Saccharomyces cerevisiae S288C: one gene and its partners. The gene in region 1 interacts genetically with each later gene. Each region holds a gene or a part of one and is shown on either strand. Other genes may lie near its edges. The genes, in order: YMR084W, RTT102, PAU5 and AIF1.

What was found.
Region 2: mutations in YMR084W (region 1) and RTT102 together harm fitness more than expected from each alone (negative genetic interaction), as found in Saccharomyces cerevisiae (one large-scale study listed by BioGRID).
Region 3: mutations in YMR084W (region 1) and PAU5 together harm fitness more than expected from each alone (negative genetic interaction), as found in Saccharomyces cerevisiae (one large-scale study listed by BioGRID).
Region 4: mutations in YMR084W (region 1) and AIF1 together harm fitness more than expected from each alone (negative genetic interaction), as found in Saccharomyces cerevisiae (one large-scale study listed by BioGRID).

Annotation. Positions count from the first base shown.
Region 1 is NC_001145.3:434,643-437,922, reverse strand, and holds YMR084W (putative glutamine--fructose-6-phosphate transaminase), read right to left. Parts: upstream 1,296-3,280; coding exon 507-1,295; downstream 1-506. Other genes in the region: YMR085W (uncharacterized protein), read right to left, coding at 1-432; alcohol dehydrogenase ADH3, read right to left, coding at 2,008-3,135. UniProt on the Saccharomyces cerevisiae protein: Involved in amino sugar synthesis (formation of chitin, supplies the amino sugars of asparagine-linked oligosaccharides of glycoproteins).
Region 2 is NC_001139.9:1,041,497-1,044,249, reverse strand, and holds RTT102 (Rtt102p), read right to left. Parts: upstream 975-2,753; coding exon 501-974; downstream 1-500. Other genes in the region: RNH70 (Rnh70p), read left to right, coding at 1-431; TAF1 (histone acetyltransferase), read left to right, coding at 1,155-2,753. UniProt on the Saccharomyces cerevisiae protein: Probable component of the chromatin structure-remodeling complex (RSC) which is involved in transcription regulation and nucleosome positioning. RSC is responsible for the transfer of a histone octamer from a nucleosome core particle to naked DNA.
Region 3 is NC_001138.5:98,725-101,499, forward strand, and holds PAU5 (seripauperin PAU5), read right to left. Parts: upstream 876-2,775; coding exon 507-875; downstream 1-506. Other genes in the region: YFL019C (uncharacterized protein), read right to left, coding at 1,528-1,881.
Region 4 is NC_001146.8:777,093-780,570, forward strand, and holds AIF1 (Aif1p), read right to left. Parts: upstream 1,647-3,478; coding exon 510-1,646; downstream 1-509. Other genes in the region: COS10 (Cos10p), read left to right, coding at 2,824-3,478. UniProt on the Saccharomyces cerevisiae protein: Putative FAD-dependent oxidoreductase involved in the resistance to cercosporin and other singlet oxygen-generating photosensitizers. Translocates from mitochondria to the nucleus under apoptotic conditions, where it degrades DNA and induces apoptosis.

The DNA of each region.
Region 1 (3,280 bases):
AACGTTTACTGGAACTTCCATTAACTCCTCAAAGATGGGACGGGCAGCTAGGCATGAATGGAAGGAGGCCTTGGATGCAATCATTATTATTCGTTTTGCTCTTCTCAATTCTGTCAACCAATTTTCTAGTCCTCCCAAAACTACTCTGTTTGTAAAGGCGTCAACTCTTCCTCTCATGACATTTTTTGTTGTTTCACACTGCTCGTATATTTCCTTTTGCATAAAATTATCGTAAGGGCCTTTTTTGATTTTGGACAACTCCAATTCTAATTTTTGAACTGTTCTAAATGAAAAGTCCTCGGAACCAATTTTAGAACAATGGATATGAAGCTCCCCATCATAGATATGGGCAATATCATTATCCTCCAAATATACTACTTTACTCACATACCGCGCTAGTGATGCACAATCGGATGACAAATAGAATTCCATGGGTCGCGGCAAGCCGTTCTCGGCTGGCGTTTCTGTGGATGAGCCATGATTGAATGTAGAAGTTGTAGAGTTTCTCAGGTATTGTGAACGAAGGGGGGTGACTTCCTTAAACAAGTGTTATATTTTACAGGTGCGGCAGCCAAGACATTACCAGAACTCTTGGTTTGAGTATTAAGCTTCAAGTAGTCTTCTTCTTGATCCAAATATTCCACCTCGACAAAGTTTACGTCCATGTCAGTTTTACCTTTAACACCAATAACTAACGGGGAACCCTTTCTTGCGGCAACCACTTCATCGGGAAAATGAGAAGAAGTGCATAGCAGACCATAAGAGCCTTCCAATTCTTTAAGTACTAAATTTGTTAATACATGGAAATCGAGGTTGTACCCGAGTTCAATGCTTGTATCATAAATGTGTTTGTACAGTTTAGGAATACATTCGGTATCAGTGTCACTTTTGAACACATAGCCCTTTGCCATCAATAAGGCTTTCAAATTAGCGAAGTTGGTAATAACCCCGTTGTGTACCACAACAAATTCATTAGATGGATCTGAGTTATGTGGATGACAATTTGCACGTCTTAGCCCTCCATGTGTTGCCCGCCTAGTATGGGCAATGCCACAATGCGAAATAAAGGGCAGGTTCTTATTAAGATTGTAAAGGTCGATTTCTTCCTTCAAACTGCTTATTTTACCGGTTTGCTTATAAATATTGAGAGACTCCAGCTCATCACCTTGGATCGAAATTCCACTGGAGTCATATTCCTTGTACTCCAATGCCTGTAACCCTTCGATTAAAGTGTCGATGATTTCTCCTCTTGTCTTCTCAATTAAAAAATTGCAATAGCCAAAAATGCCACACATTCTTCTTCTTATATTGGGTTTTTAATCTAGTTTATTGGATCATCTTTTGAAAGTCTTTTTTACAAATTCCTTTTGTTTTATAATTTAATTATAAATGTTCAAAGACGTTTCTGAATTGTAAATATAATTCAGGGGACGGCATCAGTTTGATTCCATACACTACGTGCTAGTCTAGCCCAGCATGACTAAAACGAAAAGGGGCGCCTTTAAAAATGAGGAAGAAATCCAAATCCTAATGACCTTCAAGCGCATTTTTGGGGCTGATGTTTTAGTTCGAATGTCTCCTATTGTTAAAAGAAAGACTGCCTCTTACCTGCTTTGAGAGAGGCTGATTATTAAGAACACAGGACCCTTAAATCGGCGGCTTGTGAAATTTCTCCGAATTAAAATTCTGGATGTTCAAGAAAAATATTCTCTTCGGCCCTTTTATCGTGAGAGTAATATCGAAGTGTGCAAGGAAAAATCAAAAACGTGAAAAAACTTATACGGTTAGGTTTGGGCGGCTCGATGCTTGATGGTGATAATGTCTCTCAAACGTTCTATGTGTCGACGGAAGCCAAATTTGGGCTATTTCCATTATCACTACTTGATATAGAAAAAATACTGGTACTGCTTCTTGATTTAGTGATTAATCTTTGCTCCACTATATATTTATAAACCTCATCATTATAAACAAAGACTTTCATAAAAAGTTTGGGTGCGTAACACGCTATTATTTACTAGTATCGACGACGTATCTACCCAAAATCTTGCCCTTTTCCATCAAGTCATAAACCTTTGGTAATTCAGATAATCCAACAATTTTGATTGGTGATTTGATCAAACCTCTGCTAAAGAAGTCTAAGGCTTCTCTCGTATCAGCTCTGTTACCAACATAAGAACCCTTGATATTGATGGACTTCACCACATGAGAGAATACCTCTGATTTAACGTAGGCGTTAGCGGGCAAACCAACCAAAACGACGGTACCACATGGTCTAACATATTCCGTAGATAGAGAAATAGCGGCTTCAGAAACGGAAACGTTAATGACACCATGAGGGCCACCTTTGGTAGCTTCTTGAATGTCAGAAACCATATTCTTTGTTTTAGTAAAGTCGATGAATACTTCACCCCCCAATTTCTTGAAAAGTTTTTCCTTTTCCTCACCTGCATCAATACCTAGAACTCTGTAACCCATCGCAGTTGCATATTGAACGGCCAAGGAACCCAAGCCACCTGCAGCACCAGAGATGGCAACCCAGTCACCAGCTTTCAAGTCTGCCTCTTTTAGTGCTTTATATACAGTAACACCAGCACATAATATTGGGGCTACTTCGGCCAAGTCGGTACCCTGTTGAATTTTGGCGGCTTGAATAGCATCAGCGGTCGCAAATTGTTGGAAAGAACCATCATGAGTGTAACCAGATAAATCAGCATCTGGACAATTTGATTCATGACCTGATTCACAGAATTCGCATGTCATACAAGAACCGTTCAGCCATTTGATACCTGCTAAATCACCGACTTTCCAGCCCTTGACATTGGAACCTAGTTTGACAACTACACCAGCACCTTCATGACCACCTACTAATGGTAGTTTAACAGGTAATGGCCAATCGCCGTGCCAAGCATGTAAATCGGTGTGACATACACCAGAATATTTAACGTTGATTAAAATTTCATTTGGCTTAGGCTCGGGGACAGGGATATCTTTGTAATGCAGCTTCCCCTTATTCTCATAAAAGATGACACCTTTTTGAGTCTTAGGGATTGCAGCTGTGGATTGCAATCTAAGAATGTTTCTAGAAAATAGGCTTGGTTGGACACGCCTGGTGAACAATGTTGACGTTCTCAACATGATGGTGTTAACTTATGACTATACTATTCCTAGTTTTAACTGTGAACAGAAGATAATATATATATATCCATGTATAGTAAATTCGGTCGAAGAGATAAAGCGAGTGTTCCTTTCTAAAAGGGTTTGTTTAATTTTATAAGACGAA
Region 2 (2,753 bases), on another chromosome or scaffold:
TTAAAAATCATACTGAGGACGATTCTAAGGGCCAGTTAATCCGTTGCGTCGAAGATGATGAGACATGGACCCATATTCACGAGAATCTAAATAAAGATGTCAAACTTATTGTGGGGAGAATCAAGAACTTAGAGAGGTCACGCAACTATAATAAAAAGCCACGGAAGGAAACTCCTTCGTTCGATGCGTCCATGGTTCTTCATGATATAGGGCAACATCTAACACAATTATACGAGAATGCTACACCAGGTACTATGATTTTGATCATGTCGGGTACAGGCGACACAAGACCATGGAACAATCTTTCAACTGAGTTAGAGTTTATTCAAGACAAAAAGGAAAGATTAGATAAAAGACGCGAAAGGGAACCTGAAATAGTAGAAGCCATAAAGTTAGCCCGGGGTGGTGTAGCATCCTTTACTGTAAAATAATTCTATGTGTATAAATATATAAATATATATATATATATATATATATATATATGCATAATACTTTTCCTTTTAATTCATTTTCACATCTTTACTCTCCTTTGTATTATCATTGTTCACTCCCGCAGATAACCCAGGAATGGCTTCACTATTACCGACAGCGCCTCTTATATCATCCACACTAAGAGCTTCATCTCCTTGATTAGCAGAAGGAGCACCGGTGGCCTTACTTGTATCACCCTTAGTGTGCGATGTCATCAACGACTTTTTCAGTATTCTTCTATCAAATTCTTTCAAATCTAATATATCCTCACAGCTCTCCCTCTGTAGATTTTTCTCATCTTCCTGGTTCCTCAACCATGTTTTATACCTGAATGGATATTTCTCCAAGTTATTCTCCATGTCCCCTAGCTGTTGTTGTGGTTGCTGCACATTGGAGCTCACCTTAGATGGTTGGTACCAATCATACCTCCATGATTCCTTACTCGTAGGGTTGCCATAGTAAGAAACCTTATTGGCCTTAGTAATGAGCGTCTGTGGGTCCATTTTCTCTATCTCTTGCTGACGTAGCTCTTTCTTTCCAACATTAGGTTTTATCGCCTTGTTCATTAATAAACTAGTCGATAATTTCATTTCGCGGCGATGGTTTTCAAATGTGCTTTTAAGAGAATAAATAGCATTTTAAACACAGAGAGAAAAAGAAGTACAACAGGAGTATAAGGCGATATGGTAAAGCAGCAGGGATCCGGCAAGACCAACTTGGCCAACGAAGATGAAGCATATGAAGCTATTTTTGGCGGAGAGTTTGGCTCTTTAGAAATCGGGTCATACATTGGCGGGGATGAAGGTGCCAATTCAAAGGACTATACGGAGCATTTGCCGGATGCTGTAGATTTTGAAGATGAAGATGAACTTGCTGATGACGATGACGATTTGCCAGAAGAATCTGATGCTAATTTGCATCCAGCTATGATGACTATGGGCGCGTATGATGATGTAAACGAGAACGGTGCCGTACTCGGTATCGACTCAAATAGTTTGAATATGCAACTGCCTGAAATTAATGGTGATTTGTCTCAACAGTTTATTTTGGAGGATGATGGGGGTACTCCCGCAACTAGCAATGCTTTGTTTATGGGAATGGATGCAAATGAAATTCATCTCGCCACTGAAACTGGAGTTCTTGATGGTAGTGGCGCAAATGAAATTGGGCATTCTCAACTTTCCATTGGTGGCGTTAATGGAAATGATATGTCGATAAATGGTGGATTTATCATGGAACCAGATATGTCAGATGGCAAGCATAAGAAAGCCACCAAATTAGACTTGATAAACCATGAGAAGTATCTTCTAAAAAAATACTTTCCTGATTTTGAAAAGGGTAAAATTTTAAAATGGAACAAGCTGATTTATAGAAGATCTGTTCCTTATCATTGGCACAGTGAAATATCTAGGGTAAAGAAACCGTTTATGCCTTTAAATTTGAAATTCAAGGTTCAACAGGATGATAAGAGGCTATTCAACTCAAGGACAATATCTTACGTCGCTCCGATTTATCAAGGGAAAAACAATTTACTTCAAAGTAACTCTTCTGCATCCCGAAGAGGTTTAATTCATGTTTCCATTGATGAACTTTTCCCTATCAAAGAGCAACAAAAAAAAAGAAAGATTATTCATGATGAAAAGACCATATCGGAAGACTTGCTTATTGCCACTGATGATTGGGACCAAGAAAAAATCATCAACCAAGGTACTTCATCAACAGCAACCTTGGCGGATTCGTCTATGACACCCAACTTAAAGTTCTCCGGCGGTTATAAATTGAAGAGCTTGATTGAGGATGTTGCTGAAGATTGGCAGTGGGATGAAGACATGATCATTGATGCAAAATTGAAAGAGTCTAAACATGCTGAATTAAATATGAATGACGAAAAACTGTTGCTGATGATTGAGAAAACAAATAATTTAGCGCAGCAAAAGCAACAACTGGATAGTAGTAACTTGATATTGCCCCTCAACGAAACTATTTTGCAACAAAAATTCAATTTATCTAATGATGATAAATATCAAATCTTGAAAAAAACCCATCAAACAAAAGTTCGTTCTACCATCTCGAACTTAAATATTCAGCATTCTCAACCTGCGATTAATTTACAATCTCCATTTTACAAAGTGGCTGTTCCTAGATACCAGTTGAGGCATTTCCACCGTGAAAACTTTGGTTCGCACATCAGACCAGGTACTAAAATTGTCTTCAGTAAGTTAAAAGCGCGTAAAAGGAAAAGAGATAAAGGTAAAGATGTCAAAGAATCATTTTCTACATCT
Region 3 (2,775 bases), on another chromosome or scaffold:
TTGCATTCCACGATGTTATTTTACTTTATAAAGCACCTGCAATTTTTTTTTTTGTATTAACTCATCGAGTATGTCTGATGTGTAAACTGAACCAGGCTTAATATCGTTTCTAATTCTTGTTGTGAGAAAACTTTCCTGCCTAGTGTATTTCGTCAGGGCGAACCTTCGGATAGGCACCGAACTCCGAGATTCTTGCTCCAATTTAAGAAATAAGCTTTTTCCGTCCCAATACAATAGAACATTATTAAAGTTAATAATAAAAATGGCACGGCACCAGTTGGAAGTTAAATCCCAACATTTGCTGCAAGAATAGAAAAGAAGTCATAACAAATTTGCATATTACTTACGGCTTCAAAAAAGCACCGAAACTAATCGAGAAAGCTTATAATATCGGTATACATTTGAATGTATTTTAACTATTTCTATATCAAAAAAAAAAAAAAAAATTGTATATTTTTCGTTATTCTCTAATTCGTATCACATTTTATCCCTAAGGGAATCTATCTCTAATTTGCAATAGTGTAGATACCGTCTGCGGATAGAGCGCTAGAGATAGCTGGCTTTAATCTGCTAGAGTACCATGGAACACCAGTGATAACTCTGGTAACTTGGTCGGCGGGAATACCAGTCAACATGGTGGTGAAATCACCGTAGTTGAAAACAGCTTCTGCAATTTCAACTGGATAAGTTTCAGTTGGGTGGGCAGCTTGGAAGGAGTAGTATTCAGCCAAATGAGCTCTGATATCGGAAACATAGACACCTAATTCAACCAAATTAACTCTTTCGTCAGATTGAGATAGTGTAGTGGTTGCTGCAGCGGAGGCACCAGCGGCAATGGCGGCGACACCAGCGGCGATTGAAGTTAATTTGACCATTGTATTTGTTGTTTTTTGGGTTGTTGCTTAGTGGAGATATAAGCTTAACTGGAAGGAAAAGAACAGAGAAATGTCTCAAACAAAGCTGATCAAACCGCTGTATTTATATAAATTTTTTGAGCAATTACATCCCAAACAGGCTATTACTGGTCACTCATTTTGCACTCATATCTCACATATTCTAATTCCTGGCCACTTAGCCATTATTACTATGGGGGTGTATTTTCCTTGAACGATGCTGCACTTCGTATAAGAAACACGCTTCATATTCCCCATATCTTCGTATGTTTAGAGCGCAAGAATGTTCCTTACAGTAAAGGTGCCTTTCGACCTGCAGACACAATGTTAGCCAAGTAATAGAAGCAAAGCCAATATTGTCTTGGCCTCGTTCAATTGCCTAACCCTTGGCACTAAACGGTTGCTAGGAGAAAAAACACGGACCTTTTCCCAAATTAGAAACACTAAAAAATGTTAATATGGTACTAGTCGTCGTACCCTGCTGAAATCATAAAAACCTTACGCCATCTGTGGGACTCGTCATAGGGTTTAGTGTATATTGAATGTTGGAAAATCTCTCGTTCTGATATGCCCAACAAACCAACAATGTACAATGTGAGGTTTCTACAAATCAACAACTATGGTTTCCCCTAATTCACTTGGATTGATTGGTTCTAGTGAAAACTTTACCTGTTACAAAGTTTTGAATCATTTTAATTAGATATCGTGTACCGAACAGTATCTGATTCGTATAAAAAAAGGAATATTGAAGGTCAGTTATCCTAGTGACAGGTGAAAAAAAATTGATATGTATGCCCTTTGTATTATCTTTGGGGTGGAAAGAAGTGAAAACAGAAGCAAATTGGTTTTGCAGTAAGTTTAGTCTTTTGACCTGTAACTGGTTAATTTCGAAATGACTGGTGGAGCCTGACTCGAATATAGAGCAAAGGGAGTCTTTAGTAGTATATCTTCTTACTTCGATGATATTTGAATAAAGTTCAACTATCATCTACCGATTAGTATTCATATTACTACTATATTATAATATGGGTGTGAGAATATGGCGTAACGTTTGAGAGATAGTCTCAGGTGTAGTGGAAGCTGAAATTCAGGGGAATGATGTTGTAATGGAATAATTAATGACAGGATATGAGATGGAAGGAAATTTAATTATATTATTACATAGAAATATCGATTTCCTTTTGTGAATTTCTATATCCTCGAGGAAACTTTCTGGTATACTTTGTATACTAAATTTTATAGCCTTTGACAACAACGAAATCCCAAAAAGTATTTCATAATTCATGTACTTACGAGAAGAAAAATCATTGCCCTGCTAGTGCTTCAAAAAATATAATTGGGAGCAACTAAAATCTCCTTGCAATGAGTTACAAGGAACAGATTCTTACCGGTAGTCCTGGTGAGCAAAAGACTTAACCATGTGGCAGCCGTTGTCTAATATCCACTAGCTATACACTTACATGGAATATTGGTTGCTGAAATAATTAGACTTAATGGTAGCAAACGTAGTGGTCATCCATATGAATATATGAGCAAGAAATAAACGTGAACATGTAAAATAGTAATACAGACACCATAATGTACAGGTTAATCCTGATATGTTTCTCGAATGAAATCGGGAAGACTAATAGGAGGCTCAATTCTATATTCACTCACGTTATGCGCCTGAATTTGAATGGATATTGTTGATAGAAGATTCCCTTTAATCACTCTCCTATATAAATATTTCTGTTTTTCTTATTAACGCAACAATAATTCGGGCGTGTGGTCTAGTGGTATGATTCTCGCTTTGGGCGACTTCCTGAATAAACAGGAAGACAAAGCATGCGAGAGGCCCTGGGTTCAATTCCCAGCTCGCCCCCTTTTTTTTGCATATCTGGTC
Region 4 (3,478 bases), on another chromosome or scaffold:
GCTGTTTTATTGAGCATTCTAATGCTTTCTTTTTCCCAGCACCTAAACCACACAATACTTTACTCCAGTTCCGTATTTGCCCCTCCCATGGCATCACGCCTATACCTTAACTGTTAATTCTCACCGTCCCCATTATACTAGGTTTAAAAAAGAAGGTGGTCAATCCTGTTGATATCTGTATCTCTATATAACAAAACTTCGGTATAAAACATTCACACTTCGAGTAAAATCAGTACCTATCTTCATGGACCCTCCAAAATGTCAAATTGTTATCAAGCGATTGATAACTCTAATGCACAGGTGTAATACCGTTTTACTACTGTCAAAGAAACTACATATAGTGTGAGAATCCAAAGCTAACATTTTCGAGTAACTTCGGGTTTTAATAGATTATTATCTGAATGCGAAGTTCAACATTTGTTGTTTCCAGCGGCCTTCTTTGTTTCACAATACAGAAACTAATATATATATATATATATATATATATACGCTGCAGTTCATATTTTAGTCTATTTTTTGAATAAAGGTTCCATTTTGTCGGAGAAAAGATTCTTCGACTTTGCTCTAGAAATTAAAAACGATGGAATATTAATCGTCCCAAGTAACGGTAGTGGAAATTGGCCAAACCCTGCATTTGGCCCAAGGGAGACACCACTTGGGGCATGTCCTGTCTCAAGACAATCTGCATCAACGAGACTAGCCTCTGTTCCTTCTTGTAAAGAACTTATAACATTTCGGGTCAAAACATCAACCCAATTATCTCTTTTAACCAATCCGTGATATCTAAAATTCGTTACATCACCAATGGCAAAAACGTTTCCTGCCTCAACAGCTTTTACCCTGAAGTTTTTTTCAACTTGAATGAACCCTTTCTTGTCACAAAGGTCTGAAATACTGTTGACCGGCACATTTGGAGAAATACCAACGCCTCTGTAAATCAAATCAGCATCTATATATTTAGATGAGCCCTCACCTAGAAAAATACGTTTCGGCGAGGTGTCTAAAGAAGCCCCTACTGTGTTCAAGTACAACGTAATACCATTTTTTGAGAGATAGTCTGTCACATTTTTTCTTAGGGTATCGTTGTATAACCCAGAGTCCGGCAGTAGCTTATCGGAATTATGAATAATGGAAATACGCTTTTTGCCAGACCTGATCTCCTCCAAATACTTGAATAACAATTCACCAGCTAGTTCACAATTAACAAAGCCACCGCCAAGAAAAAGTATGTGATCTGCATCTGAGATTCGAGAAGCCTCTCTTTCAAAATACTCTTTATAGTTATCCCCGAAGGTATAAGTTGAACCAATTGGATCAGCCCACTTTGAGCCAGTTGCAAGAACCAAGATATCAAACTTTATGGCCCTGTCTGACCCCAAAACTACCTCCTTATCATCAAAGCTGGCAGCCGTATCTTTGATAACTTCAATACCACTATCAAGAACATTTTTTAACGGCAGGATCGACTTGGTATAATCCTTTGAAACCGTCAAACGGACAGCTGAGGGTAGAAAATACACATAATTAGATGCTGTGACGAGCTTTATTGCGTATGTCCCACCCAGTTCCCTGTACAAGTGATTTGCCACAGACACACCAAACACACCAGCACCAACAACAACTATGTTCTTTGTGTTAATTGTCATATATTTTGCAATTTCTTTCTTCCTTTCTCTGCTCTTTCCTGTAAATAATGAAGAACAACGATGAGGAAATGTGTGTCTATCAATGATTTATCACTGCTTTCGTTTCTAGTCTGCAGCAGCTAATATATTAATACTTATAATAGGCTTCATTTGTCCAGCCAGATAAAAAGGACTAATCATGCAGGGTGGACATTCAATTAATTTTTATCGCTTTTTAACGATTACTAATCCAGTATTACCAACTACAATCACTCAGTCATGTATCACTAATAACGAAAAGTAAGCTGTACAATGCTCATCTTCCTAGCACTACTAGTACTGCTACTATGAGACACCATTGAAGTCTTCTTCAAGACCCCCATTATGAGAACACTTGGCTCACTATACAATCGGCGGGAGATGGGTTGTTATTATAGAGAGTTTCAGGAAAAGCACTCCTAGATTCTAGTCAAGTACTGCCTATTGTATAAGAGACGAGGGCACGAGATAGCGCAGTATTTTATGATGAAAATATGAAAATAAATACTTAACTCATTGAGTAAGCTTAGCTGGGCAACTTAACTAACAGTCAAAAAAAAAAAAAAAAAAAAAAAACAAGAGCCAGCAAACTGACATTAACATTGATCAATAAAATAAGAAAAAATGTACCAGAGAATTCGATTATGAACTGATGACAATATCATTAAAGACTTTGCACAGTATTCAAAAACTAATCGAGAGCTTTGACCAAAAAGTGTCCCGACTTTATAATGAGACCGCCGCTTAATTCATAGGAGTTATATGGTATGCTTTGGAAAGCTATTACATTGTTTGATAATTCAAAAATAAGCCACAATACTTCACCTATTGTGTACCATGTATTATAAAACATCGCAGCTCGTATCTGTAAACATACATTGACTTACATTTTAGTGATAACTTGGGTACTTGAGTGAAGTCCATTTCTCCCGTGCTTCCGGAACATAAACCAACATAGATTCTCTTTCACTCGAAACTGCTCGAAGCTGTTGCTCTTTTTTTGATCGTGGCTTTAACTATAAAACTCAACAGCTGCGTGATGAACGCGCTGTCAACAAATTTCATCTTGCGAATTATATAAAAAACACTGCGAGTGATTAAACCTCAGTAAACTTGTTACGTACCTCATAACATTAATGTGAAATACACTATATTGAATATGGGGGAAGAGATTAGACTTTTGTCCTCTAAAGGTCTTGAGACCCATAGTAGCTTTTGTTTGCCCGAGGATATTTTCAGAAACCGTTTAACATGGTTGTGCAGTGAGATTCGCAACTCAGGATTTTGGATCTGGTCGCTATCATGGTTACCGCTTGCCGTTTGGTGGGGGATGGCCAGTACTTGGTTTTATCCCCTTCTGACTTCAGTAGTTCTAATCCTGGCGCTAATTGCTATTTTGCCAGTAGTTCAAATACAGTACAGTAAATATACTTTATCAAATCAACTCACCCAGCTTTCTAAAGAAATCATCAAAAGTGCACCAGGTGCATACTCTGCTGATTGGGACGCTGTTGCAATACATTTCAATTCCTACTTGTATGAAAACAAAGCATGGAAAACTGCACATTTTTTTTTTAATGGTACTGACTGCCAAGAAGCATTCAGGAAAACCATTCTAGAGCCAGCTGTTTTGAGGAGACAAAACGAAGATCCTAGGTTCAGTTCAATTGAGATTTTGGTCCCTTACACCGAAGACGCGGTGCAGGTTTATTTTACAAAAGTAAACGCACAGTGGAGGTTGATCCATGGTAAGAAGGAATGCAAACTTACTATGTTGGAAAATGTCAAGCTTCCTAAGGAAACCTATCGCTGCA